Linked DNA regions of Drosophila melanogaster. The protein of the gene in region 1 interacts with the protein of each later gene in a pairwise test. Each region holds a gene or a part of one and is shown on either strand. Other genes may lie near its edges.

Evidence for each region.
Region 2: the proteins of Cpr72Ea (region 1) and lbl interact in a two-hybrid assay, tested with the Drosophila melanogaster proteins (one large-scale study listed by BioGRID).
Region 3: the proteins of Cpr72Ea (region 1) and CG13287 interact in a two-hybrid assay, tested with the Drosophila melanogaster proteins (one large-scale study listed by BioGRID).
Region 4: the proteins of Cpr72Ea (region 1) and CG7945 interact in a two-hybrid assay, tested with the Drosophila melanogaster proteins (one large-scale study listed by BioGRID).

Annotation. Positions count from the first base shown.
Region 1 is NT_037436.4:16,358,760-16,366,089, forward strand, and holds Cpr72Ea (cuticular protein 72Ea), read left to right. Parts: upstream 1-3,843; 5' UTR 3,844-3,890; coding exon 3,891-4,916; 3' UTR 4,917-4,991; downstream 4,992-7,330. Other genes in the region: Cpr72Eb (cuticular protein 72Eb), read left to right, coding at 6,238-6,891; Cpr72Ec (cuticular protein 72Ec), read right to left, coding at 7,260-7,330.
Region 2 is NT_033777.3:21,429,451-21,438,170, reverse strand, and holds the start of lbl (ladybird late), read left to right. Parts: upstream 1-4,037; 5' UTR 4,038-4,203; coding exon 4,204-4,906; intron 4,907-8,720.
Region 3 is NT_037436.4:5,879,340-5,887,012, forward strand, and holds CG13287 (uncharacterized protein), read left to right. Parts: upstream 1-2,964; 5' UTR 2,965-3,067; coding exon 3,068-4,453; coding exon of another isoform or gene 4,454-4,480; 3' UTR 4,481-4,751; downstream 4,752-7,673.
Region 4 is NT_037436.4:15,518,609-15,527,100, forward strand, and holds CG7945 (uncharacterized protein), read right to left. Parts: upstream 5,530-8,492; 5' UTR 5,225-5,529; exon of another isoform or gene 5,110-5,224; coding exon of another isoform or gene 4,904-5,109; intron 4,857-4,903; 5' UTR 4,608-4,856; coding exon 4,360-4,607; intron 3,973-4,359; coding exon 3,952-3,972; intron 3,895-3,951; coding exon 3,752-3,894; intron 3,588-3,751; coding exon 3,211-3,587; 3' UTR 3,103-3,210; downstream 1-3,102. Other genes in the region: mex1 (midgut expression 1), read right to left, coding at 849-901; yellow-k, read left to right, coding at 2,012-3,040; CG33986 (uncharacterized protein), read right to left, coding at 5,724-6,541, 6,600-6,615; CG33985 (uncharacterized protein), read right to left, coding at 7,304-7,522, 7,585-8,199; CG42729 (uncharacterized protein), read right to left, coding at 8,343-8,492.

The DNA.
Region 1 (7,330 bases):
AAGAGAACTTTTATTTTGGGGGGAACAAAACAGGAAGTCATGGGCATTCTGATAGAGCACGCAACGCAATAGAGAAATCATTGACTTAGGAGGGGGACTTATGCTCGGGACATAATATGTGTATGAAATGTGTAGCTACATCACCACTAGCCCAGATGACATCACTGGGAGCTGGGAAACGCGCAAGCGCCAGTTTGGAGAAGGGGTTTCCTGGGGGGTCTCGGTACTGGAATTTCAGACTGATGATTCAAATGCACGCATATATACACACGGAAGCGGGGAAAATGCGCCTAAATCAGGACCTCCCAAAGGAAATCGAAAACAATGGTGCTCCCCAGGAACAAAAGAAAAGGGGAACGCGATGCGCGGTAAGTGGGTCAAAATCTGCTCTTGAAAATATGAACCTGCTACTCATAAAATGAATAAAAAAAATATCCTTGGCTCGGAGTCTGCTTATAGATGCAGGATACAGTAACATTTTAAAAAAAAAAATAAATCCAACGAACTAGATTATTTTTCTCGAAACGTTTCCAACTTACATTTGTTATTAAAAAAGTTCCAAAAATTCTTGAATATATTTCCAAAAAAATATTTGTTTTATTCCTCGGCTATTTTCCAATCACTTTAAGGCAAACGCGCGAATGCTGGCGATGTCGAAACTCAACTGTTTGGACAAATGCGCAGCCAGTGGCTAGCGAAGGCCCAAGCGGCGTATGAGTGATATTTTTGTTTTGAGTGAGCTTTCGCTGAGTGAAATAGAAACTCAAAAAGGAAAATCCTCCTTAGCATTTTATCCAAAGAAAAGATGGCAAATCGTTGGTGAGCTAACATAAATTCCAAAACTTTCTGAATGAGATAAGGAAAACGATTTGGATCTTATAGACACTTTTACTGACCCCCCAATTTTTTTTCAAGCGATGACTTCATTTCGCAAAATTTTATACACGAAAACTAACAACGAAAGCCACACGACGAAGCCATTTATCAGAAAGAAAAAGAAACAAACGAGACCTAAAAACAACTCAGAATAACAAAAGTGACGCTACACACCAGAATCTTATCAAACCAACAAGTTACACTCAAAATTTTGGTTTGTTGTGAGTGAAATTCTAGGGAATAAAGCTTAAAGCTTTTCCTGATTTTATATTGTCTAAAGAGAAGGGGAGGGGTTCGCCACACAGTCTGAGCTACTAAAACAGTGAGTTTGTAGTCAGTAAATTTGTTTAAGCGCAAAAAAACAAAAAACGATGCGTGAAATTGTTGGGCAAAAAACACACACAACAAGTGCCAGACAATTCGAATAATGAAGGGTGTATCTTTTGGGCTTACTTAGACGTGTTTTTGGGGTGTGACTTGGGCTATACTAACCAGTGAGCTCATGCTTAGCTATGCAAATGAGTACTTATTTCAAGCGGTTAAGATTTGTCGACCGCCTTACTAGGTAAATGGGTTCTTTGAACTTTTCTATTTTGGACATTCAGGAAAAAGTAAAAGTCAAATAGGAAATCATAAGGAAATTACTTCGCACTCCATAAAATGATTAAACACATACTGAAACAACAAGCCCGTCCTAAACCCAAAACAAACCCTAAACGAACGAAAAAAAAACCTTTGACATTGATTTATGAGAACTGACGGTCGGAAGAATTTGGTAAGTTTTTGTGGCCAACTCGATGAAGTCATAGCCCTGGCCCAAAACCAAAATACAAAGCAACTGAAAGACTAACTTGGAAAACGAAATACCCTGAGGAGACTTCTAATTAATTTCGTAAATTAAGCATTAGGTATTACAAACAGAGGTCCATTGATTATTATTATTTAATATACAATGTTTGATATGTAATTTAAATATTTCATTCTACAATATTCATTTAGTTTATTGACCAGATGACGTTTAGAATATTCTTTAATTAAAATTAGAAAGAGTTAAATTTCCTATATTTATGGAATGTTTTACAGCTGAAATACCTTTTAGACTGATTCGTTTGCTCTTTTTTTCTAGGACATAAAATCAAAGTACTCCCAGTCCTGAAAAATGAAAAACATGATTCTTGCCACCTGGCCTATCTTAAGTGCACCTTTAATTAGCCACGAAGGCAGTTCAAAGAACCAATGGTGGTACACAAATCAGGGCACAGTCCACTCGAGACAGAACAAAGGGAGTGAACCAAGTGGACCGGACTATATTGCCAATCCAACTTCAATTCCAGGCCAGAACTAACCAGCTCATTAAGCCAGGCTGGAATGGTTGTAGAGAATTGGGCTTTGATTGAAACTGAGTGCCAACGGGGCTAACATTAAAACGCACTTATCAGCCGAGCCGTCAAGGCCAATCCAATGTGGTTCTTGCAGTTGCTCCTCCTCCTCCTCCTAATCGGGAGCGAAGTTTAAGCACCAGAGATCTGAGGCATCCGATAAGCCCGCTGCTAAAAATAAAAATGACCAGCGAAGGAGGAACAGGAGATACCAATGCAGCTGCAGTGCATCAGAGGCGGATGGGAAACATATTCTTAGGGGGTTTTCTTAGTGTCCGGTTGAAATAAGTATATATCTTCAGTGTATACTATAAGGTGTCTAAAAATTCACATTATATTATTTATTTAGCGGACTTAACGATTTAATTAACCCTTTTCTGTGTCATATTTGTAAGCTCTTCGCATAAAACATATATTTCTTATGTACATACATATGTATCTAACCAAGTATTATAATTTTTAAGGGTACTTATGACCCCCCTAAGACCCCCATTTTGTTCGCCACTGGAGTGCATGACTCCCGTGTCCAAGCTGTGGCCAAATGTGGCCCTTGGCCTTCACTCACCTTGAGATGCCGTTGTTGTCGTCGTCGGTTGTTGCCACAGTTGTTGCATTTGCTGTTGCAGTTGAAGTTGCTGTTGTTGTCGTGGCCCCGTTGCAGTGTGCGAACAAAAAGGAGGCTGAGATGCCACAATGCTGTGGCAGCAACAACGATTGCATATCAATTACACGCTGGTCTGGATGCGGTCTTTGGCCTTGATGGTCCACCCAGCCAAGGCCCTTGGCTCGCTTGCAGATCCAGATGCAGATGCAGATGGAGATGCCAGGCAGCGATTGCTCCTCCCGCTGCGGAGAACCAGGGTCTGCCTCCCTCATTTGGGCCCACTCCAGCCTTGGCCACAATTAAACCAAATTGACAACGCCTTCACGAGGCGTCGATCCCCAAAAGGGGAGTGAAAGGCGGAGCTGCAATGTCCGTTAACGACACAAGTGGACACGACGACGCATTCGCATCTCCTCGTTTGCATTGAAGTGCATCTGATGGATACATTTGGAGAAAAAATTAATTGGCTGTTTACTATTTTAAAATGTGACAGATATTATTACTATTAGGTTATTCTTTAATGAAATACGTGTGCTTGTACAAATTTGATGAATTCTATTTAAGTACAATAAACCACCTTTTTTATCAATAATAAAATATTTTTTTAATGATTGTCATAATCATAAAATTAAAATTTCAGGAATTTAAGAACAGTCTTTTTTAGCAATATTATTATTTATATGCATTTAAATTTATGTTTTAAGCTTTGTACAAATCATTATTAAACAAATTACGAACTACTTATTTTTGGATTTAATTTAAGTCATAAAAATCACGTTACTATATTAGGGTAAAAGAGCATAAAACATTTGTATACTCTCTTAGATAATAATATGGCATACTTTTAGAATTTTTTCGCAGTGTATCAGAATAGAAGCATCTGACCGGCAGGAACCTCAGCCAGAACCAGAACCTAGAACTCGCGAAAGAACCTGCTGGGTATAAAAGGATGAAGACCTAGGCTCAGAATCAACAGTTACCAGTGAACTGACGAACAAGACTCACTCGAAGCAATCTTCCACTGCCCAACCATGAAGTATCCACTTCTGCTGTTAGGAAGCCTCAGCTTGGCCCACGGACTGGCCTTGTACTATCCCTATGCGTACACTGCCGAGGGATCCGCCGTGTTCACGCCCACCCAGCGCCAGTATATCGCCAAGGATGAGTTGGGTCAGTACTCCTATGGCTATTCGGAACCATTGTCCAGCAAACAGGAGACCCGCACCCTAGACGGAATCACCCAAGGATACTATAGTTACCGGGATGCGGCGGGAAAGCTGCAAACGGTTAACTATGTGGCCGACAACAAAGGTTTCCATGTGGCAGCCACTAATCTGCCAAAGGCTAAAGTTCCCCAGGAGTCGCTAGAATTTAGTCCCAGGAGCGCGTCGCATCCAGTAGACCACCATGTTGAGCATCACGCGGAGGTGTCGCATGCTGTAGTTCAGCATCCTGTTGGCCACCATCCCATTGAAGTTCCACATCATCACACTGTTGTTGAAAGCGGACGAAGTGCTCATCCAGATGGACATCATCCCGTCGAGCACCACGAGCACCGCGTTGCTGTAGCTCAGCATCCTGTTGGCCATCATCCCGTGGAAGTTCCACATCATCACACTGTTGTCGAAACCGGCCGAAGTGCTCATCCAGATGGACATCATCCCGTCGAGCACCATGAGCACCCCGTTGCTGTAGCTCAGCATCCTGTTGGCAACCATCCCGTTGAGGTTCCTCATCATCACACTGTCGTTGAGAGCGGTCGAAGTGCTCATCCAGAGGTGCCCCATTCTATCGAACACCACGAGCACCCGGTTTCTGGCTCAGACCCATCCGGATCCCATGGTGGCCACTCCCAATTGCCTCATCCCGTTTCTGATACCGCAGAAGTGGCTGCGGCCAAGTCGCTTCATCTTCAACGCGTCCACGATGAAGGCGTGCGCAACCAGGTGCTGGCCAAGATTCCAGTTGCTGTGGCTCGCAGCCACCATGTCGTGGTTCCTGCTCCGGTCTACGGCTACACCATTCCCAGGTACTACACCCCCGGATTTTACTATTGAATGGCAGCTGAATTCGCACGATTTGGTTCATTATTTAAGAATTTCGAATTTAAATTAAAAAATTGTCAATCAGTCTGCAACGTTTCTTTTGAAGTGGTAATGGGATAATATAAAGAAATTTTTAGCAAATTCATTTTGGTAACACAATATTTGTTCGAAATATATTCTTTCTAAGTATTCTTTCTAAAATTATTCTTCAATCAACAAATTTCTTTATAATTTCTAGTTTTAACATTTGTATCTTTATTTGAATATAATCATAACTAAACTCGCGACACCTAAAGTTCAAGATCCGGCTGAACTGAACCCTTTAGCTGCCCAACTCCTGGACTCACGGAACACGTTCACTCGGACCCTGTCCTACCTCAACCTTTTGGCCCCCCGACCCACCGATCACATTCCACATATGTGCAGCATAAACTCTTCATAAATGTGGGCCGAATTTTGATTTCAATTAAATTTAATAGCAGCATAAACAACGGCAAAGGCAACAACCTAAATAACTAAAACTGGAATTGGTAGCCGGCGTGTCCTATAGCCCCACCCGGTTCCTTGACCCCTATCCGGATGATTTGCAGCTCACACTGAGAGAAACAAATGACCAATAAGTATGACACATTTTTATAAAAGTTTAAAAGTGCTGTTAAAACATGGTAACTCTTGGTTATCATTCGACACTAATTATTTAAATAACGTTGTTTCTAGCTCGAAAATAACGAAAGTCTTAGCTTTTTAATTAATTAAAAAATTACAACCTCTCTTCATTTCATAATTTTTCTTCATTTTTCAACTCCACTTTCTCTCAGTGCACATCCGGAGCCACTGAAGAGCAGCCAGCAGCCTGATTAAGTTCTTGCTTTGTGGCATTGCGGAACGTTGTTGCTTGTCTCTGTACATGTCCACATCCGATGCAGTGCGATACCTATAAGATACATACATACATGTATGTACATAAGTGTTGCTGCCCCTTGCGCAGATGAAAACAAATTGCGGCTTTTGTGCTCAAATTTATGCTGAACTTGTTGAAATCGAAATCGACAAAATATTTATGTACGAAAATGCGAGGAAGCAGAGGAAGAGGAAAAAGGAACAATAATCCTCCAGCCTGGTGGAATATGAAAGTAAAACCCAACCGGACGACCTTCCTGAGAACGCACGAAATTGTAAATTTTTGGCAGTAGGCGCCGCCTATAAAAGGCAGAATCCCCAATCGATCCCAGCACAGAGTTCTCTAGAGCGAGTACTAGTTCACCACACTAGCAGCGCCTTAAAAAAATTTAAAAAAAACCCTCAATTATCTTAAACAGCCACGCTTGAGAAGATGTACTTCCTTAATCTTTGCCTGATTTGTACCACCATCGGTTTGGCCGTCGGTTCACCAACCTTGGAGTACGGTCCCCCACCAACTTCGGATACGATCAGTCAGTATCACCACCAGGATGAGCATGGCCAGTACGCCTATGGTTACATGGCACCACTGTATTCCAAGCACGAGACCCGCACCGTGGATGGTGTGATCCGGGGTACCTTCTCCCACATCGATGCAAATGGCGAAACCCAGACCGTGGACTATGTGGCCGATGCCGAGGGCTTCCATGTAACCTCCAATCTGCCCAATCAGCAGGCCAATCAGGAAACCCCTGAAGTGGCTGCACTGCGAACACAGCATCTGGAGGCCCATAACCAGGCCAAATTGAGGTTGGCCGGAGACTACTCCGTGGGTCCACAGCCTGTTCGGGACACTCCCGAGGTGGCCGCCGCTAAGGTTGCATTCTTCAAGCGTTTCGAAGCCGAGAAGCTGCGCAACAAGTTGCTCGCCGAGAAGAAAGTTCTGGTGATACCGAATCCAACTCCCATCGCTGTTCGTTCACAGCCGATATATGTCTACCAGCCCACCACCACAGGATTCGTGTACAACTACCACACCAAGACGCAGGCCCAAGTTCCATCGAGGAACTACCTGCCAGTAGTCTAATCTTTGGATTGGTCGTCTTCGCAAAAAATATGTTAATTGTTGAGCAATAAATGATGCAAATCGGAAATTTAAATTATATCTCAGATTCATTATTATAGAAAATCCTTGAAAAAGACACAAGTATATGGCTTAGAAATCACTTAAGCCATCAATCACATTTCTAATATTTAAATTTTCAGATAAGATAAAGATATTCACACTTTTCACAGTATAAGCCACCAAAGAAAAAATGGAAAAAAATTTACTTTTGGCACAATGGTGCTCTGTCTTGCATTTATTCTTAGGAAACACGTCATAGTCACTCCTCACTTTGTTCCACGATCATTAGCCGGCTTTGATCCATCACCACGATCCGCATCATCAGGCCATTAATTGCGTTTGCTTACCAACAAACTGCGACTAAGGGCCACTGGGCGCAGGGTTCGCAGTTCCGTGGGCG
Region 2 (8,720 bases), on another chromosome or scaffold:
ACAAAATATTCTTATAAAAGTAAGATTCGGAAATATGTTCCTTATAGAAGGATTGCGTAATTGGGGTAGCATTTTATGATAATAAGAGTAAGTTTTTATATGTTTCATAAACACTCAATCCACTTCATTTGATTTGATTCAACCCGCTATTAATCACCCAAGCTGAATATCTTCCAGTCTTGGTGGTTCCCCACTCTGGTAGCGACTAATTTATATCACGATAAGATCACACGCTTGAAGCCGCCAAAGCCAATCACATTCCCATCTTGATCGAACCCTCGATCCCCCTCCCACCCGAAAACCCATCAAAATCAGCCACTTAGCCCATCTCGCAGGGAACACACACGTAGGCGCCTCCAGCAGCAGGTTCTTCAGTGTCCGTCAACGGAGCTCGGAATTCGCCGGACACGTTCGCGGACAAAGCTCGATGCTATGGGGCCCACTTAATACGTTTGATGGCAATAAGTTGACGCCAGCCGCCACAGTTGTACCGCTACATCACCGATAAGGCGGCGGACGGCTATTTGGAAAATCAAAAGATTCACAGCTCCTACAAACAGAGGGAAGTGTTAATGGATGTCACTTTAGTCGGACCCCCCCTCCACACTTTTTGGCTTGATCCACCTCTGGATGACATTAAGCTTCATCAGACATTCAACCCGATGCTGAATTAGCATACAAATTACACACGAGCACTAGCACTCAAAAATGCTTGAAGTTTGGGATTTTCGAATTTTCGGTTTTCTGACCACAACAAAAAGCCGACAAATTTCGCCCCAAACTCTTCCAAGTGGCAAACGGCTACCGATTTTATTATTGATAATGTTTTGATTTATCACAAAGATATACAAATTGCCACTGCCCCAAACTTCGGTTGAGGTCCATTCTCAACCGTGCCGCAGGGCGCGGCACTTTTGTGTGTATCTTGTGGATAAACGCTGGGGCATTTCATTCCAGGCCATAATTTTTATGCGGTAGCTCGAAAGTCGGTTGTTGGTGTCACTTCGTGCTAAGTTTCATCGTATCTGCACAGAGAGAAATTGTGTGATTTATATCTCTTTCTTTTATACATCGAAGATGAAATTGTAATTACAGATATGCTTCGTTTAACAGATACATATAACTGTTGTAGAATTATTTTAGATATCCAACCTGATCGATAAGGATTTAGATTCATTTAACAAAATCGGCTTGTAATATTTTCTCTCTGTGTGGTCTTGCGGCTTCGCCAAACTACTTAAGTTGAGGGATCTCCGGTGCTGGTCTTAATAGACAGACGGATCCGATCCGCATTGACAAATGTTGTTCGTCGCGTTCAGTAAATTGTTTTCGACATTTTCGTGTCGCATTTGTGGTCGAAATCTGCATAATGAGTTGGCAAAACGCTGACAGCTGTCCCAAGTGTCGAAGATTACTCGATGATAAGGCGAGGATCGCTTTGGCCATAAGCGCATTCGTCACAGATTCTCCTTCTTCTTTCGGGCGCAGCTGAAAGGTTGAGGTTGGCTTGAGGATAGCTGCGAACTGGCTATAATTGGCATGCAGTTTTGGGAGCGCTGAGCGCTGATTGTTGACAACTGGCTGGCACAACTTCATCATCGTCAGCCACGGGAAGCGAACTCGATCTCGAGCTCTGGTGAGGATCGGATCGGAGCGACTCGGCAAAACAAAGGGCGACATTAATGCACTGCCAGCAGCACTCTCGAAGTCGCCGAAGGGGCGTGACGAATTTGACACAACGGCAATGACTTTATTAACAACTGACTCCTGCTCCGACATCCCCGATCACCCTGGCAGAAGCCACGGCTCAAACCCCCGTCCATCCCCGCCCCGGGCAATATGACAATATGACAATGTACACAAATACACGAGGACCGTGGTGAAGAGAGCTCTCCGGGGATTTGGGCTTGCCAGATGCGACAATAAACACTTTTGCTATTTATGAGGTTTAAATGAACACGGGTCCGCCATCTTGGGTCGCCTAATGAAAGGATATAGAGCCGATACATTTGGCTTATGAATTTGCAGAATTAGAGGCGTGTCGGATCGGTTGAATGGGAATGGATTTGAGTGCCGGCTCGAGTGGTTCGCTTCCTAGGGGCGATGGCTAATTATGATTGACAGGGCGTGTCTCGTCTATTGAGGCGCCCAATTAAGAGTCGTTTTATAATTGATTTTGAATATGAAGGCAATAGCGATAGCGAATGTTCCCAAGCCCCGTCAATTTCTCACTTCCAAGGCAAGCGAAAGGAGAGAATGCCCTGGCTCGTCAACTTTAGTCAGTCAAGTGTAGGCATTAATCAAACATCGCGGCCATCTTGCCACCAAAATAGGGGGCAGTCGAAGGGATTGGAGAAGGGCCCTTATGCAAATTCAGCGTCATAAATTGCGATGTAGGGTTCGGGTAAAATACATCTAAACAACACCCTTTCAAGAGACTGAATAAACTGGATTTTATATTAACATACTGTGCTACTCATTTTGTCAGCTGGGTACCTGTGTACTTTTGCTGGATCAAGTTATTATTTTGTAATTTTATACGTTAAACATTAAAAGCTAATTTGCCCATACTATGTAGTGTAAAAGTCCAATTTGTTGTAAGCCCTTGATGAGCCCAATAATCATTGGTAATTGATGCTCCGCGCTTTAATAAACAGATACAAACACAAATTTGTTGAAATTGCCACTTCCCCTGATTTCTTTTCCCATCTCGAAATAATCAATTATACTCGTTTTCAAAGGGCAGTGTAGAACCCATTATCGATTACGGCTCGCCAGTTACATCATTTCACTTAGCCGACTCTTCAGTCACATTCCCACCGGCAAAGGGCGCAATGCAGTTAAATAGACATTTGCATGCAAAATTCAAGGAAAAGCGAGAAATAAAAAAGAAAACCAGGACAAACAGCGGAGCGAAATTGAATAAAAAACTGACACTGACAAACAAACGAAGCGAGGCGCATACAGGGCGCATACGTGATACAACGAGCGGACCAAAGTTGCAATCAATTTGGAAATGCATTGAGTTGAGCTGTGGAGTGGGAAGCGAGGGAAGTGGCAAGACAAACGAATGTGTGCCAGCAAAATGCACTTAAACAAATGGAAATATAAATGGGAAAATATAAAATAATATAATCATAAATTGTGTGTAGAGAAACTAACTAACTAACAAGATGCAGCTAGTTATTAGATCTAACAACGATCTCAAGTTAACAAGTAATAAATGTGAAGAGCAAAGTAACTGTCATGTTGTGCCATTTATAGGTTATTACTTTTGAGGTGCAGAATTCGTTCGCTTTTTAATTTATGTTGAGGAAGTTTGAGGGAGAAAGACATTTTTACATTACTATAATATTTTTCATAGGCACATCTATTTATGACAAATAAACCTCTTTCAAAAAGACGTTCTTGAACGAAGGATTGTCAGTTCGGGGAACTGTTTTTCCCAGTGCATCAGAGGTCTCGAAACACGGATTCGAAGAGGCTTGTTTTTCCAGTGGAAAATAGATGAGGAGTCGAAGCCAACGGTACAACGAGACATCATTATTGATGACAATTGAGTGGGCCAAAAGAGAGCTGCGAAAAAGCGGGTGAGCCAACAATTACGATAATTAACGCAGTCAGTCGCCTGGAAAGCGACGGGAAAGAGAGGGAAATAGTGCCGCCCCAGAGAGAGAGCGAGAATGAGAGAGAGAGAGAGAGGGAGGAAAGAGAGCGCATGTCAAATTGTACAAATTAATGACGTTCGCACGTTGACAGCGACTTTTGGTCGGGTGAGGGGGTCTGTATGGCCCTCGACCAACTGCTATTGGTCCTCTGGTTAGCTCTCCCTCTCTCCATCTCTCTCTTTTCTGCTGGCACGCCCCCTTGGCGAGAGCGAGGCGGCGTTTCCAATTAGACAAGCTGCGCAGCTGCGCGAGTCCGTGACGTCATGGGTGCCAACCAGTTTGGAGGCCCCAAAAAGCAGTTGAGAGAGCTTGGCCAAGAAAGAGAGACAGAGAGCCGAGCAGCATTAGCATCGCATTCTGGCCACGAGCCATTTTCGTTGTTGGTGTTTGTGTTGCACGTTGTGCCGACGTTTTTCGTGTGACAGCCGCGCGTTTTGCCGACGCGTTTTTAATCGCCCGTAGAAAAGAGTTTGGAGCTAAGCCGTAAGGATACAGCCAGGATGTGCTGAGTGGCCAAAGGAAAATACACCTAGAGATGCCGCAAAGAACTCCCAGTCCCGCTAACTCTGATGTTTCGGTGGGTTCGCCCAGTCCACCGCCTCTGAGATCGTTGAATATGAAACGATTGCGGCTTTTGAGGAGTCCTATTAGCCTGGAACATGACCGCCAAAAGTCATCACCCGTCAGGGTCAAGAGCTTTTCCATTGCCGATATCCTGGGGCGAGGGCATGAAGAGGATCGTGTGGAGAAGAAGCCGGAGAGAATTGCCATTCCCAATGCTTTACCAGGAGTACCTGCTCCATTGGCTCTGATCAACGAAAGATTGCAAATACCCTTGGTGCCGAATTGCCCTCCGCCGGCTGCACTACATACATTTTTATCGCCCGCTTTGCTCCACAGCTATGAGCAGCGACTGGCCTGGGACTACCAGCGCCAGCTCCAGGAGCACTTCCAGGCACAGGCGCAACTCCTCCGGCAGATGACCCTGAATCCCGCGATCATTGCCTCCGAGGACGGCAGTTCAGAGCGTTCCCAGCGATCAAGCAGCAGCAATGGCAGCACCGAATGCTGCAGTCCCACCCAGGCGGAAAAAGTGGAAAAACGTTCCCAAGAGGACAGAATGGAGGTTCCTAAGAAGTCGCCCGAGGAACAACCAAAGGGGGCCAGCAAATCAAGTGGAGACACTCCCTTGGATGCCCTCTTCCAGCTGTCCACCAAAAACTTTGACGAAGAGCAGGGTGAGTAGTTTTCAAGAGAAAATATATTCCTCTAAATCCAAACAGAAGAAGACTTTGCTTTTAAACTGCGGAACCCAGTGGACAACCAAAAATCATATTCTTCATATTTACTATATGTAAAAAAGTACAAACAAAATTATAGTGCAGAGATAATAGATATTTCATCAGCTTTTTCTCAAGTTTTATCAACACCCCTGAGTATATGAGCTTTTTGTTATATATGATTGGAATATCTTCAACATAAAAATATCCACAAACTGTAGAATTACTTACTCCGCGTTCACCTCTGTGTGCACAACCGCAATCAAATTACATTTTAATATAAACTGATTTCCCAACGAGACCCATCATAACCATTAGCCTGGCCAGCGATTGATCAATTGTTGTCATTACGTCTTGATGAGATTCTGCTTAAGGCGTAAAAACAGTAGTGAGGTCAGCCTGCTCGTCCGAGGTGGCTAAATCAATTTCAGGCCAGCCGGCTGGCAGCTCGCTCGGCATCGCCTTTGATGGCAATTGCCTTTCCCAGACCCAGACCCAGTCCCAGTCCCATACCCATACCCAGATCCACTCGAAGGCCCCAGCCCGGTCATATGATGATGCTCTAGCTGCGGCGAGCTGCTGCTCCAACTCGAACTCAGACTCCAGCTGATGGCTGATGTCTGATGGCTTTGGCGCATGCGTATCGTTCGGCATAATTTGCTTAGCGGCGTTGATTTCTCGTTAAGTCGCAGACGCAAACCGATTTATCCCACACTCGGAATAAAAACAGAAACTGCCGGGAGTCACTGGGAAAACTATTCCTCATAATATCTTCGTTTGGAAAACACATCACCTTGATACAAATTATTGTACAAACAACTAACTAAGAGTATTTAAAAATATCCTGAACGGAACATTTCTTTATTTATTATATCTGCAAATCAATTTCCATCATTTTTCGGTGTAAAACAATATTGGCCATGAATGTCTATTAAAATATCTTCCCACAGCGGCTGTCATATTTTTTCCGAGTGCACTGACCAGCAATCCATCAGCGAACCCATGGTCTGCGCTTTTGTTCATCAGCTACTGAAATTGAATTTACGCGCCGCACGTACATCAGCCAATTGGTTCGTGCTCCACTCTAGATTGCCGCATTGCCGGATTGCTGAGCTGTTGGGTTGTTCGGTTGCCACAGAGCCATCTAATCAGCACCAGCTGATTTGATCGGTTGATCAACTGCTACTGGCATTGAGTGCCGCCCGGGATGATTATGATTATCGCCGAGCTGCACTTAAGCGCCGCAGTTTGCGAAAATTGTATTGCTTTTTCCCAAGACAGCATCCGGTGTGGAAGTGGAAGAGAAGACGCGAGGTTGGCCATGGACTGAACCCTTTCTACGGCTGCCTCCTGCAATTTGCCCGGCTGATCAAAAGCCGTAACCGGCCAGTTGAGGGAAAGATCTGAGACACTTCCGCCTGGTAATTAGGAGCAGCGACAACTCCCATTGCAACGCCATCGTAGCCCCACTTGGGGCTTGGGCCTGCTCACCGCTCATGACGATTGCCGGCAGATAAGCCATAAAGAGGCCCAGGCAGCACATACAAAATAATTACAATGAAAATGGCTGAAAAGTTGCAGCTATTTGAACAATGGACCTGTCGTTAGGTCTTGTCAATTACGCGTAGATACCTGCCACATTACGTCACCGAAGAATGGGTACCCTTTAACACGTTTCAGCAGAGTCGAATGTTGCCAGAAGGGTTTCTTTCTTTTAGATCGTAGAACGGTTTCCTTACATTTTCTCAGTTAGTATGTAGAATTTCTATGGTTCCGCCAATTGAAAATGGAAAGTGGATAATTACTGGGGGAACTACCCTCTTACAGGGTATACCGGCAAACGGATGGCGACTTGGGCACAAAGAAAGCCCGGTCGTGGGGCGATCAGCACGGTCGGTGGCTGCCGCTGAAATGTGGGCTTGATGAAACGCCAAGACAATTGGCACAGACAGCCGCGTTATTGAACGCACAAACGGCACAGAGCGGCGGATGCATCCCTAATTACAATTTAATTACTAAAACTTTTCCCACTTGACAAAAAGGCGGCGGCCATGGCAGTTGAGGACCAGAACACCAGAAGACCCAAAGACTGCGACGCAGCCGAGCATGAACCACAAACGCACCGCAACCAGATACATTGACAGGCCCTAGACACACACACACACACTTCGGCCACAATGATGATGGCTCTTCGGGTTGACAGTTGATTTGACAGATAGCAGTGTAAACATTTTACAAAATGCGGGCTGAGGTCGCGGGGCGGGGCGGATCCAAATAACAATAGTAAAACGCTGGCCGGGTGTTAGTTGTTAGGCTGCCCAAAGAGTCGGAGCTAATTAGTTCAACTAGACGTATACTTAATTTCGAATGGGAGCAAAGTCGAAAATGTAAATAAGTGGCGGATTGAGCATAAATTATAGTTATAATTGGAAATTCGCACGGAGAGTGGGCCGGCCTGTGTGCTAACTACCATGCAAATGGATCCCAGTCAGAGCTGTTAGAGGGCAATTTTCAGTCACGTCAAATCAAACGATCCATAACCGGTCCACATCCACAAATGGTGCTCCCATGTCCCATATGCCATCGCAACTAATAGGTGGGGTAATGGCTTTTCGAGATTCTACTTTCCGAACAACGTGACATTCAGAATGGCATGCCTTGGCTTAAAACGCCCCCTACAATGATAATACGTATATGTATATCTGCTGTGCCAGATAGATTTCCATCTTTCGCATTAGTGGCCACTTGCCCCGTAATTGCTGTTCAAATATATTTGCCTCCAGATCGCCGGGTATTAAAAATCTAGTTGCTGATAAAAAAATATTAGTGCTGCGTGCATCAAAATCCAAAAACAATTTAGCACACAGATATTTGGATAACAACAATCTCTCTGTTAGTTTATTGTGCTGGAGAGCACAAATTGTTTAAAATACCAAGGTTTCATTTGAGTTCCTTGCCAGCTAGGCACAAATCTACTGCACATTCCGACGATCAATGCGCAAATTGATCAATTGCACTTGCAATTTCATTCAATTTAAATGTTTCCCAAGAATCCCATTCAATAGGCGAAAACCTTTGGCAAAAGTCAACAAGCTCCCAGTTCAGACTACACATAAATCAAGCAGACAAAAAGAAATTCCGCTAAAGTGTAAAAATAAAATTCATTTCAAATGATTAATAGCTGCACAGCGTTTCAACAAAATTCGTTAATGACATTAAAACACCGAGCGCGGCAAATACTAATACTATAAAAAAAAATGTGATTCGCATATGTGCTTATTGAATGCTAGAAGGCGAGACTCGTTTGCCTCAATAAAATCGAGAAAAATGACTGCGGGCGCAAACTGTTCTAACGTCGCATAAAATATGCATGAGATATTGCAAAAAGCCTCCGAGCAGCCGAAACAAGTTGACAAGCCGGCGTTCGGCATAAATTCTCTAATTAACGGTTGCGCTTCAAATATTTTATTAAAAATTATAATTCGCCAGTTGTAAAAGTGGCAGAGAAATATGAGTTTGCGTGCCGGCTAACCATAAAGCATTTGCATTAATATGAGCCAGCGAAAACTACAGAAAACTAGCCGAACTTACGTGGTGGCCCCTCAAAATTGGTTAACTGCCTGATTTGCTTTCACTGGCCCTCGACCCTCCGGGATGGACACCTCTACCCATATAGGGCTATACCATTTCAAGCGGTACCACTCGGGTGGTCCGTCATCATGGGGCACCCCTCGAGCAAATTGCATGACTCGCTCGGTTCGGTTAGAGCCAA
Region 3 (7,673 bases), about 10 Mb from region 1:
TATAGTAAAACTCGATGGAAACTTCCACTGCGCCAGCTCAACATAATCCACTGAACAAAAAGCTTTAAAGATTGTGATAAAACTTATCGCATATCAAATATTAAAACCCGTTTATGTGATACCCGATGCTATCTGTTTAACCTTATGAAATATGTGAATACCATTTGAAAATGTTATAAAACACAATTAAAGGTATTAATAATATTATGTATATCTTTTTGTTTGAACTTGAAATTTAACATGCAGAAGTTCGACAATTTTACTTTTCTGTGCACTTAGTTCGCTTAGATCTCCAGGCAGCAAGAAGCTGTTTCCTCCAGGATTTCCACACAAAACACAAAGATTACGGGAGACAGGCAGCACATTAACATCAACCGAGGCCACAATCTCCACGGAAAAGGTGTCTGCTGTCTCCGGAATAAACGTAGCCAGCTCTACGCTAAACTTGAAGCAATTAGCATTTACATTTTGCTATCTTACCAAGGATAATTGAAACCCGGCGAGGATGCTATGCCCGGGCATAAGGAGCACGTAGCTGTGTCTAAACTTGAGTCGAGAGATTGCCATCTTAGTTTTTAATTTGCTTCCTGGGACATTTCCTCGCTTTTGCTCGCATTTCCTTCGGTCTCGACTTAATCACACAAAGGCAATTTCACGCCTTTTTGCGCTTTGTCTCGGCCTGACAACGGGGCAATCACTTTGTCACTTGGCAGTTTGATGTATCGACAGGCGCTAAACCAAACAACCAACCCACCTAAAGTTCCATCCCCTGGCTCAGTGACAAGACAAAATCATCTAGTTAGCAATAGAGCGAGATCAGCAGGGGTAGATAAGCCTTTGGGTTTAGTGGAAATTTTGTGCTCGATTTGTATATCGGAGATTTTCATTAGTTTGCGCTGAAAATATTTACTGCAATGAACTGAGAATGTGTTCGGGATTTTCACTTGACTTCAATTGTGCACACGTGTCACATATGTGAGAGTCCAATTGAAATGGGGGTAATTTCTGGTGAGATGTGACAATAAGTAATATATTGAGGAAATTGGTCCGATGTAAGATAAGATAACTGATCAGATATAGTTTAACTTACTCAGACTCCAGCATTTAATAGGCTTGGGTAACCCAATTAATTCTTATATATTTTAAAATGATTTTCCATAAGCTTTAAGCATCAACTGCACCAAACATTTGAATATCCCATTTTATTTATCAATTTAAAATCACATCAGCCCATGGGTTGAGCTTGCATTGTTCGATCGGCAATTAATTAAATACAAGCTAAACAATATTTTTAATGAAATGGCCATGTTGGAAGGCAATCATGTGTTTAATATTAATTTCGTCGACAGCCAACATGGCGACCATGCGAATTATAGGCTCCAGCACACAGATACTCAAATGCACCCATACACACACACACGCACACTCGCACACTCGGCTGTTGGCTATAAATATTAATTAAAAATGCAACTCATATGGCAAGTGGAACAATTAGCACCTGAAAATATGCAAACATTAAATTGCCGCTGCTGCAGCCACATGGCTGCAAGCAAAAAGTGCAACAAAAGAGTCGAAAATTTAAATAAAATATACATACACCCCATAGCTGCAAACCCTGTTCACGACTGACCATAACAGACACATATTTTGTCCTGGCAATGGCCACATCCTTGCATCCGGTCTGCCAGGATCTAGGGTCTAGCCGGAAAAAAGGGAAATAAACGGGGGATCAGAACGAGACGGAAAACGAACGGAAGGCATTGCACAATTTGCTATTGTTGCATGTGCATATTTACTGGGCACTTGCCACTTTTTCCACATAGCGCTAACTTAACTGACAAATAAATATTTCGGTATGTTGAAAGATTTCGACGCTCAACAGTCGCCTACAAAACGGGGGAACCCCAATTCCAGAGCGTGTGTGTGTGTGTGTGTGTGTGTAGTTGGCAATATGTAAAAGCTACGCGCAGCATATACTCAAAATCCAAGCCAGCAGCAACAAACGCAACAAATACACCAGCACAAAACATGGCCACATATTCACACAATCTCGCTGGAACTGCTAAAAAATCGACAAAAACAACCTGTTCGGAAACACTTGCAACAAGGACATCACCACCGACAGAGACGGGCATAGAGCCAGACAGAGAGGGCAGGTCCTGCCATATTTTCGGGGTGGGTGTGAGAGGCAAATCGAGAGAGAGAGCAAGCGAGAGAGCGGCCAGGATCAAGCACCGCCTCCTTGCGAAAAGAGATGAGTGCACAGTGGGCGGAACAGGGAAAATAATTTAGTAAAATATAATGTTTTGGTAAAAATCTAAATGGAAACCATGCGAAAAAGTTTTATTTATTGTAAAATATTTGAAAACATTTACCTAATGAAGTTTAAGCGCAACTACTTCAAGATATTCAACTCTTTTGAATGAATAAGAGTAACTTCTCATATAGATGACCCTAGTTTCAAATCCTTCTAAGTTTAATCAATTAAGTTTTTTAAATAATATCACACAACTTTAACAACAACATTGCCCATTGTACCAATGCATCACATACAGCACAACAAGGTTTTCGAACAAGCCAACCTGTCCGTGAATGCTAGCCAACCAGGAGTCGTCCTGGCTAGGACTCGCACAATAAAACCACAGAATATGTTCGCCAACTGGCAAAGCAGATGGAACGCTGGAGAGACGGAGAGTGGGCCAAAGAAAGAGAGAGAAGACCGCTGGAGAAAGAGAGGACAAGCGGGAGTGAAAGAGCAAGAGCAGGAACATAAGGGTGGTGCTCTCTGCAGGACCTGAATCTGAACAGACTCCGAGCAGAATCAGGACAGATGGGCCAAGTGCCGCGAGTGCGGAGAGTTGCTTTTTCCCAATTGAATGGGACAATATGAGAATACGAGAATTCCAACTGGACGCGGTGGTTGTGGCAGCGGGTACTTAAAGAGGAACAGATTGCGGGCGGCCAGCAGTCGAAACTGGAATTTCGAATCGCAAGGAACTGTATAGAACCAAAGACCCAAAGTCCCTACCAGAGCCAAGTGAAAGTCGAAAAGTGTATTGAAGTGAAAATGAATCTGCTCATGGATAGCATGCCGTCGCACGCGAATCCTGGCCAGCGTCGCCCAACGCCGCCTCAGCACGCCGAGCTTAGGATCTCCACATCACCGCAACAGTCACCGCAGCAAAATCAAACCACTAATCACAATAACAACAATGAGACACCCACATCGCCACCGGGTGGAAAGACCACTCTTAAACGCGCCTTCGATGTGGCCTTCCTCATGATGCCCGATGAACGGATTAAGCAAAAGCAGGCCGAGAAGCAGGCTCGCCTTCAAGAGGCACTGCACCATCATCACCACCAACAGCAGCAGCAGCAGATGAGCCACTATCCCACAGATTTGTCTCCTCGAGGAACCTCCTCGCAACCACCTTCGCCGGCGGCACTGGAGTACATTAGTCTGTTGGAGGCACGCCAGCGGTATCCACAGATCAGCATCCGTTCGCCGCGGGTTTATGATGATCCCAGTGTGGTCATACCCCTGGTGGATTCTCCAGAGGCACCATCAACTTCTTCACCACCACCGCCCATGCGCAGCGCTTTTACCAAAGTAGCCTCCTCGTCGCTGTCCACTTCATCATCCTCACCATCGACCACTTCACGTTTGGAATCACCCGTGGATGCGGGAGCTCCGCCCTTGAGTCCCGATCAGCTAAGCTGTCACTCGATAAGTCCACCATTGGTGACACCTCCACCAAGAACCAATAGCGGTGGCCAGAATCCAAATCCCCTGCCAGCAAATCCCATAGTCTACCACAACTTCCGACCGGAGTATCAGTTCAACGGAGCCTTCCAGGCGGTGAATCCCATGCAGGCTCTGCAGGCACAGCAGCGCCTTAAGCAGCAGTTGTTGTACACCCGTCCACCAGGACCTGGAAATCCCAATGGAGGAGGACCTACTATGCAGGCAAACTCACCACCGGGTCCACCGTCGGAGTTCCTGCATGCCTATCCCGGATTTGCTCCGCCACCACATCCATTCGCGGTATCCCAACCTCTCCAGAATCCCGCTGCAGCAGCCATTCTCTCCACGTTGATTCCACCCACATTGGCATCCACTTTTACACTGACCGCTCAGAATGTGTGCGCCAAGTGCAACATAAGTTTCCGGATGACCAGTGATCTGGTGTATCACATGCGATCCCATCACAAAAGCGAAGTGGCCTGCGATCCAAATCGACGGAAGCGGGAGGAGAAACTCCGATGTCCCGTCTGCCAGGAGACTTTCAGGGAGCGACACCATCTAACGCGACACATGACCGCCCACCAGGACAAGGCCAGTGATCACCAGCCGCAGCTGGAGGACTCATCCTCATCTGCCGGTGACAACGAGATCATCAACGTGGTCGGCGGCACACCGCCAGGTCGCCGAATGGGTGGTATGCCCAAATGATCGAAGCATTTCTTCGGATATTTTTAAGTCATCAAGTCAACTAACTCCCCAAAAACAAAACCCGTTGCCCATTTTCGATTGTGATATTAACTTTAGTTTCCCCCACGCTCCGATTTAATTTCCCCTTAGCTTTAAATGTAGTGCAATTTGTATCTTAAATATGTAACTGGATCTCCCTGTATCTCAATTAATTATCTTTCTTATCGAAGGACCCGAAAGGATCTTCAGTTTCATCATTGTAAGATATTATGGCTAAGTTGCAAATTCAATGTGTGGCTGAATGTTTCAATAAAAATCTAATTGTTATGCCAATTCAATAGTAATCACGTTTTATTAATAAAATTTGGGTTAATGGGAAATTTTATCTTGTAGTAGATCTGAAGTATTCTAAAATCATGTTATGAAAATGAGCTTGAGGATTATTGCAATCAAATATTTTTGAAAAGCTTAAACAAAAGCCAATGAGTTGTCTATGCTTTCGAAATAATGTGATTAAGCTTATATAGACGCCACCTTAATAAGAAATCCCAAAAGACAACCGAGCTTAAAATTCAATTAATTTTTGAAAAAAAGAATCCCAAACCAGGGATTCTAGAAGACGAAGATATCTTGATTTGGCAGCATATGGAGTTCTTTGAATTCCTGGCCGGACAACCCATTATTTCGATTGTGAGGTAGACCGAAAACATAGGCTCCCAGGACCAGAAAAAGCACCAGATTTTCGCGGGTACCAAAAGTAACATACGCCATGTTAGTAGAGCGAAGAATATGTTCAACTTATTAGCGCAGTGAGGCAGTGAATTCTGTAGTTGCGATTCAGCAGTATTCATTTTGGCCGCATGCAGCAATTAGATGCGGCCACAAAAACTGCGACGCCGACGCTAATGAGCTGGGAACCGAAATTGTAACAAGATGAAAGGATACTTCGGGGTTGTCCTGCGCCCAAAAAAGGCAGTCATTCGTTTAGACGGCGCGACGAATACGACGAGCTTCCAGGATAACCCATCATCGCGGAGTACTAGTGCAGTTTTTGGCAAAAATGTATTTCGAATTTCAATATTTCCACACTTGCCAACCCTCCGGAATTCAGTTCCCATGAGCCTCGAATTTGTAGCGTAGCAAATTCCTACAAAGCGCAACGAATTCCTTGGGTGGTGGCTGCTCCCCCAGCGATTTCCTTGGCTCGTTGCTGCACTCAAATGAGCCACATCGAATTGCGTTGATTTAGCGTGGCCAAATCCTGTTAGCCCCGTGCCACAGAAGCCAAGCAGCCAGCCAGGATTCTCACAGGACGTCTTCCTGCCTTATCGACTGATGTATCAATTGATGGCATCGCTAAACGGCAAACGCTCTGCTCCGATCCGCTCTGCTCATTGTTCCCATGATGGGATTAGCATTTTATGGCTTTGTGTTCGCTGCTTGCCACTTGATAAAGACATTTTCCAAGCTCCTTTCACATGGCTGGAGTGGGGGGTGGAAAACAATTGCTGGGAAAGTTAATGTAAGCAAATTGGTGTGGAGCATTAAGGTGAAGAGATAAAAGGACTTGGGGTACAAGGTGGTAAGCCTGTAAGGAGCAACACCTAAAATAAAAGCTTATTATCAATAATATTGGAGTAATAACGTGTGCAAATCTATCAACATTTCTAATCTAAGTTCCTAATAATAATGGTAATAATTTTCATGATGCCGCAAGTATTGTCTTGATTTTAACAGACATCTCACTAGCTCAGTTCTTTTTGCCAAAATCCTGGCTGAGGCAAAAAATTTGAAGACAATTCAAGTTTTATTTTACCGCCCATTCCGAGATATCCCGTTTATAGTCACTCGTCTTGATTTATTTCGTGCATTTCCCCAATGAGCAATTCAGGCTTCCTTTAAAAAACAATTACAACTTCCGACGCCCTCGAAAACAAACAAGCGCCACCCATATGAACTTCCATTGCCGTAAAGCGAACACATCGTCAAAATCACATTTCCCCATTTCATTTACCCAAGGAAGCCACCGCATCCAGAATGGCAAGACAGACAGTTCCATGGCAGCCACTCACTCAAAACGACGCCGAGGGCGACCACAGATTCGCCAACACGAAGGCAACTCCATAATAAGCCTCATCATCATCCTGGCTGGGTGCTACATAATAGCAGCCATAATCACATTTCATATTTATCACATTTTTACGCCCACAATGGCAGATCCGGGGGGATCCCATTGCGCAGCGACCTGCGCCGCTTTGTTTGCCTTGCCTAACCTCGCAATTTGACCGTAAATAAATTGCCTGCTCATTTCGGTTACCCCCAAACTAAGCCAACTCATCCAATCCCCTTGACTGAAAATCGTGTTCAAATACGTTTAAACACAATGCAAATACCGTCATAATAGCGGTAGCAAGAAAATCCGACAGCTGGATTGAGCCTGAACCGTGAGCCGTGGGCCTTGGCTCCGCCCCATCGTCAACCCCCCTTTAATGGGCCACCCGTGCGTATGAGTGATTTCTGCTCATCTGCGCTTAAAAGTATGCAAATGCCATTGCTGGAGCAGCCGGGATTGGGAACATCGCCGACGGGGCGCGTGGAGTGGGCGTGTCAGAAGATGACTTTTATTACATTGTTGGTACTGTGACTGGTGGCTGGGCAAAGTGTTTTTTAACTGCAGGCAATTTAATTTCCACTTGCTCCAGGTCGTTTTTAATTTCCACAGCACCCAGTGCAATCGATGGGGTTTGAGTGTTTGCCTTCTGATTAGCCCTGTGGTTTGGGCCACTTAATTCCCTGTCACACGGAGAAAAATAAAAGGCACTTCATTTGTTTGCGTATACTACTGAAAGAAACATCTTCAAGTTGAAGAGAATACGACTAGTTACGATGGAACAAAATTGAATGTTTTAATCGTTGAAAACATAAATACTAATCTTAAGCTTAAGCTTAACATAAATTGCCACACAAATTGATAGAAAACTTGAACTAAACAATCGAAGGAATCATAGCAGAAATTTGGGATATGTTTTCTGTGCACTGAACGCGGCACTATAAGAGCCCCTGAAAAACTGACAGCCAAGCCGCTTAAACTTTGAACTTTGTCATTTCAATTTTCGCCAAACGGATGCGCTTTGTTTCAAGCTACATCCACAGCCAGGGAACGGAGACTCAGACTGAAGAGCTGGAGAGCTTGGGAACAAGAATGAGCACGAGACTGAGGATGAGGATGAGGCTGGAACTC
Region 4 (8,492 bases), 840 kb from region 1:
ACGGAGCTTACAATGTTTCCATTCGACCGAGGTATCTGTATCGTATTATCCATCATTTTCGTACTGGTGCATCCAGCAGAATAAAAATACAGAATAAAGCTATTTGCCACTTAAACATCTCGAGTGAAGAGGGATTGATCGTAATACTTATCATATATATGAAATATTATAAAGAAAACTACTGTTAGCACGACGATAAACACAATGACAACGATTAAGCGTCGATTCCAGCACATAATTCCCTACATTTGATTTTATTGACTATTTTGTTCCAAATCAAAACAAAAAAAAAATAACCAAAGAATTTGATTAGGGTCGCAAAGGTAGATGAATCATTTTTAACTAGAGTAGGGCGCAGAATGTTTGTGACAATGACAAATTGTTTTGTTCGTTTAAAGATATGTATGTCTCATCCGTTCTAGATTGTTTAAAGACAACAATCAACTTTGTGGCAATAGAAGCGGTTTTTACCAACAACAAACTTTCTATATTTAAGGCATTACTGAGCAGGAAGTAATATACCTGTTATCATTGATCATTAACTATGGTAGGAGCTTTCTAGAAATTCTGCTCAATATGAAGAGTATTGTAATGCCTCGAGGATTTAGCAATCTCTATAAAAAAAAAACCTATTAGCTGATAGTGGAAAGTTGTCAATTAAGCTGCCAATACCAGGAATAGTACTTGAAATACCACGAAAATAACGCTGTTGGGGGATTTTTCATCAAACCTTATCTCTATGGTAAAACCATAATAGTTAAAAAAAGCCTAAAGTCGACTATCCATTTTTGTGTAATTATTTATTTAATACTTAATTTAAAAGGATATTCAATCTGATGGAAACTTACCAGCAAATAACTTTGCCAGGACATTTAAGGCATTCACAAATGGCGTTGCACATGATGATAATCCTCGTTTGAAGTGTGTGTTGTATGAGTATTCGATTGTGCTCCCGAAAATGATTTTAGCGTATTTCGATCTGATCTTGGCCAACTCAAATGGATAACTGACTCTACGCGCAGTGCCATTTTTCCCATTTCGGCGTGAAAAGTATGAAAAGCTCTCAACCTACTGATGGAAAAAGAGAGAAACCGATAAAGATTCCAGTTATAATCAATAAAATCAGAAGAGAGGTGTTAGAAAATAAAGCTTACCACATTTTTCGGAGTGGGTGGATTTGTTTCAGATTATTTGAAGTGAGTATTATAATTTTTGCAATAAATTATACAATATCATTTAATTAGAAAAAATCTAAACATATAAACGAAAATGTAATGTAAACTAATGAAATTATTTTTTTTACAACGATAAATGCTCTATAACGAAGAAAGTTTCCAGAATAAAATATTTCTTAATGTTTATTCGTGTGATTAAATAATTTTAATACTTAAAAAAATACGAATGTACTAAAAACTGAAAGCTAAACAACATTAATTGATTCCTCGGGGGTTCACTTTAGCTTTTTGGCAATTCCCAAGTGAAATCAGTCATCTATAAGCAATCTTTATAATGGCTGTAAAGATATGATAGGGTTTTTTTGTACTTTTACGCGAAGAAATACTCGTTAACATTAAGGTTATGTTAAAACTAAGCACTTAAGGTAGGTTCAGTTCACAGGAACCTTATCAATATCGCTAAAGTTCGACAAAAATAGCCTTATTATGATTTATTTATTATAGGTTATTATGGTGGTACAAAACAACCATTTTGTTGGTTTTAACTTTGATTTATTTTGAAAAATATAACAATCCAATTTTGGGTAATTTTAAGAGGAAACTGTGTCATGATTTCGATATTCTCCGATTGAAATTGGTAAGCTTTTTTTTTTTGGGACCACAAGTGAATAGAGAAACACTCCAATGCTGGTCCCCATTAATGCAGGTCGCCGATATATTCGGCGACACCCGATCCCAACTGCTGATGTAGACACTTTGGTGGACTTCTTGAACGGGCACTTACAACGTAAGCAGAGTTCTCTAGCCCTAAGCTCAGTCTGAATTCGCGTTTAAAGATGGTCACACATGGTGTCCTCGGCTTGGGATTTCTCATTGTTGGTCTAATTCTGGCCACGGACGCCTGGCTGTTATCCGAATCTGGTTTAAACGAATCCAGCTACAAAGTCCGTCATCTATCGATGCACTTTTCGCGAGTGTTTCTCAGCGTAAATGTAGAAAGCAACGATGCGCCCACTTTGATCGAGGCGCAATGGCCGGTTTCCTATTTTCCCATGCCCACTGTCGTCTTTCCCCACATCGATGTTCATTCCATGGGGGATCATGATGATTGCTCTCTGGTACAACAGGCACACTGGTCCCAGGTGGATGCACTGAGTCGACTGTGGGTCATGGACATCGGATTTCCCGGCAGCACGTGCTCACCCCGTTTGTTTGTCTTCGATCTGATGCGTAACAACGCGGAGCTATTGAGAATCGATTGTGGACACCATATAGGTGCTAATGACACCCACTTTCTGACTGTCCAAATGGGACCCAAGAGTCCGGGATGCGAGCACGAGCGCCATATTTACTTCATCCTTGGAAAGGTACCAGAAATTCTAGCCTACGACATCCTGGAGCAGACGTGGCACCGCCTATCCTTGGAGAGCAATAAGTACGAGAATATGAATCAATCGTTTCCCATCAAGCCAGTGGATTTCATCTTCGGAATTCAAGGGGAACTCATACTCTCCGACCAGGATGGTGATCTATACAGTACGGTGGACAGACTGGAAATTGAAGGCAAAAGCGAATTAGCAAGCAAACCAATTAACAATAGCATTAAACTCACACATTTGGGCAGTCTTCTGGGCAGCAGTCGCAGCATGATCATCGACAATTTCGGAACATTGTACTATGTTATCCCCAAATTCGGAGCTGTCGTACGATGTGCCAAACTAGCCAACATCACAGCCGAGGGCAACGAAATCATATATATCACATCGAAGAACATTCAGCAGATTTTCTTCACCTCCAATGATGCATTATGGGTCCTAAGTGATCGGGTCTTGAATGCGAAGGACATGTGCTTTCCTAGCTTATAACATTTAGTTTGTTAATATAAATATTAAAATTATATTTTACTTGATTCAAACACTGCTGGCCTGGTGTATATGCTGCTTTCTTTATTATTCGTTTCATCTAGCTTGGTGATGTATTTCGTTTGGTTTGATAATAATGCTATGAATAGTTAATAGACCAAAAAACAATTTAATTAATGGCTAACAGTTTGCTTATTCAGATAAGCCATTAAGGCCTGGAGCCGCTTCTTGATGTTCTTCTGATCGTCCAGAGTGCAGCCAAGCAAAACGCTCTCGAACTTCTTGTCGACCGGCCCAACATCGGCCTCGGGCACGGTGTCCATGTGTCCGGATGGATCCATTGAGCTGCTGCAGCAGGCGTTTAAGTAAAACTGGCATCGTTGGCGTCCGATCACGGGATCACCCATCTTGATCATGCTGTCAATCAATACATTTATCTGGCTAAGGGAATCCTCCTGAGAGTTGTCCCGAACAGTGCGCACACGCAGCTCCACGGTGGCCAAGCGAGAGCTCACCCGTTGTAGGTACAAAATGATCTCCTCTCGTTCAGCTGCAAAAGAAGGTGGTACAACATTAGCTCACAGTCAACTATGAATAACCCTTTACTTAGTTTGTCATCAGAAACCATTACTTCCGACTTCGAAATAATACACATTTTAGTAAAGCTATGAACAATGAGGGTTCAAATTAGTTTTAAGAATCACTGTCACTTACCTTCGCTCATGTTCTGCATCATTTCGTTGCTCTTGATCAGATCCATGGACATCAGAAGGTAGTCTTTCTTCTCCTGCAGGTTGAGTGCATCCTTGCGCAGCTTCTCCACACGTGCATCCAAACTATCCAGTATGGTGACAAATCTGCGAGTCACTCAAAGGTTAGTCACGCTCAGTGGTTATTATAAATTCAAGATTTACCTCTCGCTGGCGTTAAATGGTCTGTCACATGTCGGTTAAGTGTGATTGCGGTTCAGTGGTTAAGTCATGAAACGAGACAAGCAACGTTAGATTGTTAGATCGCTCTGCTACAGATCGACTGACCACTTATAGAGCTACGAAATTATAACCAGAATATGTCTACAAGAAAAGGCGCTCGCACACAAAGCTCTTTTGAGAGTTGTGTGGGCGTTCGCGGCAGATACTTTAAGCTATCACCATTACTATTATGGAACAAAAGATTCGAATGAAGCTGGTAGCTGGTAGTGTGAAGAAATAATAGATAAGAAACGTATAACTTTTGTTTCGCTACGAGGTTGTGTGAATATAATCGGTGGTATTGTTTTGGTTTCGTGTCTGATTTGGTTTTAGTTATGATGGAATAACAACCTGTCCAGAGCTCTACTATCGTCGACGAGTCCGTAGGAGCTGTTCCCGCCATTGCCACCACCTCCGGATCCGGATGGGGATGAGGAGGCCATGGCATCGGCCCTCAGGTCTTGCAAATGATCAAAATTCATGGATGCCTCCGAGTGGTAATCGCTGGGCGAGATCTGATGCAGCTGCTGGTGATAAGTACTATGGTGATGATGATGAGTGTCACTGGTTTCCTGCGTTGTTGGCGCATCAACTTCCATATCCTGCGGCTGCTCCAGATTTGATTTAAACCTGTCGCCCTCCAAAAAGCCGGTCAAGTGTTTGTCACCCAAGATGGTTGGATAGCTGCCTACTGTTTCGTTTTGGGTTTTGGTTTTATCTTATTTATTTTTTTTTAGCCGCTTTGCTGGCTACTTTTTTTGGAATGTCTTAAGCTTTTTTTTTCGAGTGGGTGTCGAAGTGTTTGATGCTGTTGCTTAAGCTTAATTTTATCTGTTTTTGCTTTGAAGCTGCAATAAGAGAGAAGAGGAAGCGTGAATGCGCAGAATTCAATTACCTATCTGAATGTGGGCTGTGAAAAGAGCCTTCGGTCCAGGAGGCGTCAAAGCCATCATTGGACTCGGGCGTATCGGCTTCTATATCTTCCGGATATCGGTTTATTATCTCCGCCTCCTGGGCGGGTTGCGGCGGCGGTGGCGGCGGTGTTGTGTCCGACTCGCAGCGACGCCGTTTCCGAAAAATACCTCGAAAATTCTCAAACATTCTCGGCTGAAATCACCAATTTTCTAGAAGATTACGCCTAATTCTTCTTCTTTTCTTGTGGCAACCGATGTCTAGGAGAATCCCCGGGTGGCTGTTTTGAACTTGAATAAATTACCTGCCGCCCGAGACTTGAGGCTCCGGTTTTAATGCACCTTTGGCCCGATGCAAAAATATTGTTGATTTTTCGAGTTGGGCAGTTTGAGTTAGATGACGGGAAATGCTTGTGTTTCCAGATAATTCGTAGACACCGATTAATCTAACTTTGTTAGCTTCATTTTTGAGCACCTGGGTTGTTTACTTCGAGGGTCAATCGAATATTTCGCTTTACTTAAATGAAGATAAGTATAAATATGATTAATTTAACATTATATTGTGGGATTTGTATGACCGTGTCTGACTACCGCAAAAAAGAACAGTGGCCATATAGTCAACTTTATCGAAACCGATTCATCGAACATTGTTGTCGAAAGTTAGTGTGTACACACATTAGTTCTGGTTTTCATCTGTAATCGGCGGGAGTTTTAAAAGTAGTAGTACTTTTAAAAGAAACCTCTCTAAAAGCATTTGGTATCTCCCAAAGTTCAAAAAATTGTATGCTACATATATTAAAACTTCTATTTTATTAGTGGTGCCAAATTTAAATCTCGCACACACTGAGCCGTGCGCGACCATTGACAACTTTTGGTGGCAATATCGAAGAAGTAATAGAAAGGACATTGCTGCAGGCTGGCGTGTCCTTTGACGCAGTAGATAAAGAACTCGCATCGCTGCATATGGGGATACAGATGCTGTCCGTAGGCGGGGCAGTGAATGAGATCACTCGAAATGGCGGTGCCACCGGATGGGAAACCGGAATTTCCATTCGTTGGCATATCCTCCTGACCACCTACGGTGCACTGGGCTCTCTCCGGAATATCGCATTTACCCGTCATTGCATTCCAGTGCAATTGCGAGCTGCACTCCTGCAAGATCGCCTGTCCATAGTAGCAAATATAGTACTTTCTGCAACTACTCGAGCTGCCGACATATACAATCCTGTCGCTGGATTGTTGTTGCTCCACCAACGTGGAGCAATAAGTGGCGGCATCCGTGACCATGTTATTCGGATCTCCATCACCATTTCCGCCATCGAATGGAGGAGTCTCTATGGGATCCGTTTCATTTCTGCACTTTACATTTGTCGCCGAATCGCAGAGTCTGCTCTCCGAATTGAAGAGCATCGTTGGTGGGCAGGAAGCCAGGACTGCATCCCCGTTCTCAACGCACAGGTAAAACATGTGGCAGTCCTCCGCATGCTCCACAAACTCACCAACCAAATGATTGGCACATATTCTACTACCACTCTGCCTGATGGTCACCGAGTTTGTGGGCTTCGATGGTCTCCAGGTTAATTGCGCTGTGGCCAGCAAGCAGTTCACGATCAAATAGAAAGCTGGAAACCAATAAATTCTCATCATACTATTAGTTTTGAGAATATCCATCTTACTAACCCGTATTAAGCATCATCGTTTTTTCTATCGTCAGACTCCAGTAGAGCGCAGTTATATTCTAATTTCGTAATGCCCGGTGAACTTGGCATATATGTGATACATTCGGCGCCAAGATACAGCCGCATATGTGGCTCAGTATCAGAAAATTAACATTTTCAATTGCTTGTAGGAAGAAGTTGATAAGACTCCTGTATTTTGTTTTGCCAAAAAAGAAATATGGCTCCCTTTCCTCGCAATCAATCGATATCGTATCTCGAAATGGCAAGCAGATACAACTTTAATGCTGGATTTTTAATTTTAAAGTCTGGTGAAAAGGAAGCCGAGATTAGCTAGGAAATTGATTAGGTGATATCACGATGACATATGTTGTCCTTGTGAGGAAAATCGTATCATATCGGTCAAATTACTATGTTTCAAATCGAAGGTTGGCCTATTTTGGCAAATGTTTCGATTCAAGGTCTTCATTTTGCAGAGATATGAAAGAATTGCTTGATATCACCTGATAAATTTAGGAAAGAGTCAAGGTCGGCCGTGTTGCTTGATAGTTTTACAAAGAAGTCTTATTGATTACCAGTATTTAGGTTTATTCCATATGTAAACATACAACACTTTATGTTCAATATTTTCAATTTTTCCACAAAGCTCGTTAATTAACTAAATGTAAAATTTCGTTTTTTTTTTTTAATAAATATTATTATGTGTATTTAATAAATTTTCATTTGCATTTGCAGCTTGTTGTAGCATTTGGCTTGACCTAGTGCTACACAGGATCGCTTCTCGTAGTCCCATCCGTAGAAGAAAGGACACTGCTGGACCATCAAATAGCCAGAGCGACACTGGTAAAAGTAATTGCAGTTGTCGGAATGCGGATAAACATCGATTACATGTCGCTTGCACTGCTCCCTGGGATTATAAGTCATGGCCTGTAAATAAATAATTTATTATACAAAAATTATAAGATATGAAGTACCATAGGTTAACCCACCAAACACCTAACGTTTTCGGGATGATCGCATTTTCCGGTGAGTGAATTAAAGTGCAAACTGGTGGCACAACTCATGGGAAGTGCCACACCGCGATAGCAAATGTAATAATCTGAACAGGAGTTCTGATTTGGCAGCAATGCGATACGACTCTGATTATCCAGTTGTGGGCACACATTGGTCACAATAATCTCTATAGCAGGCGATACGGAAGTCGTACTGCTGGCTCCACTTTGATTGACTGATGGTCGTAATGTGACCACTGCCGATGGGGCTAATGTGGTGATTACAACTGTGGAAATCGTACTGGACTCCGAGGTAATCTCCGTTGAGGAGCTGTCGGTAGTGTTTTCCCTTTGCACCTCCGATCCCGTGCGACAGTCGATATCGCCCATGGGCTCACACATTTCCATATCTTGACTAAAGTATTCGCCATCCTCGCATTCACCATCGTATGACTCATCGCCGTTGCAGAAGATATAATGTGCGCAACTCTTTGGCGAAGTAACAAAGGATAGGTTGTTACCATCGTTACACTCATCGAAAACATCCGCATGACTGGTGGCCAGAAATAGGAGGGACACCAGGATGGATCCAAACTTCAATACTCCAAACATCTTCTCAGCTCGATCTCGAATGGTAAACTGATCGATTGCGTATGCAAACTTTGGGGTTTTCTTACCACCTTTCGTTATCAGAAAATAATTTGCCCATGAACACGCCTTTGATAATTGCTTTATTACAAACTGGGATATGAATCTTACAAACGTAAGCCCGATGAACGATTGGGTTTTGTGGCAACGCACTGTCCCTGGGCGACATCGAAATGGAAATTCTGTGGGCACTGCTGGAGCAACAGATAACCGGAAATACACTGATAATAGTAATTGCTATTTGCCGGATAGGGATA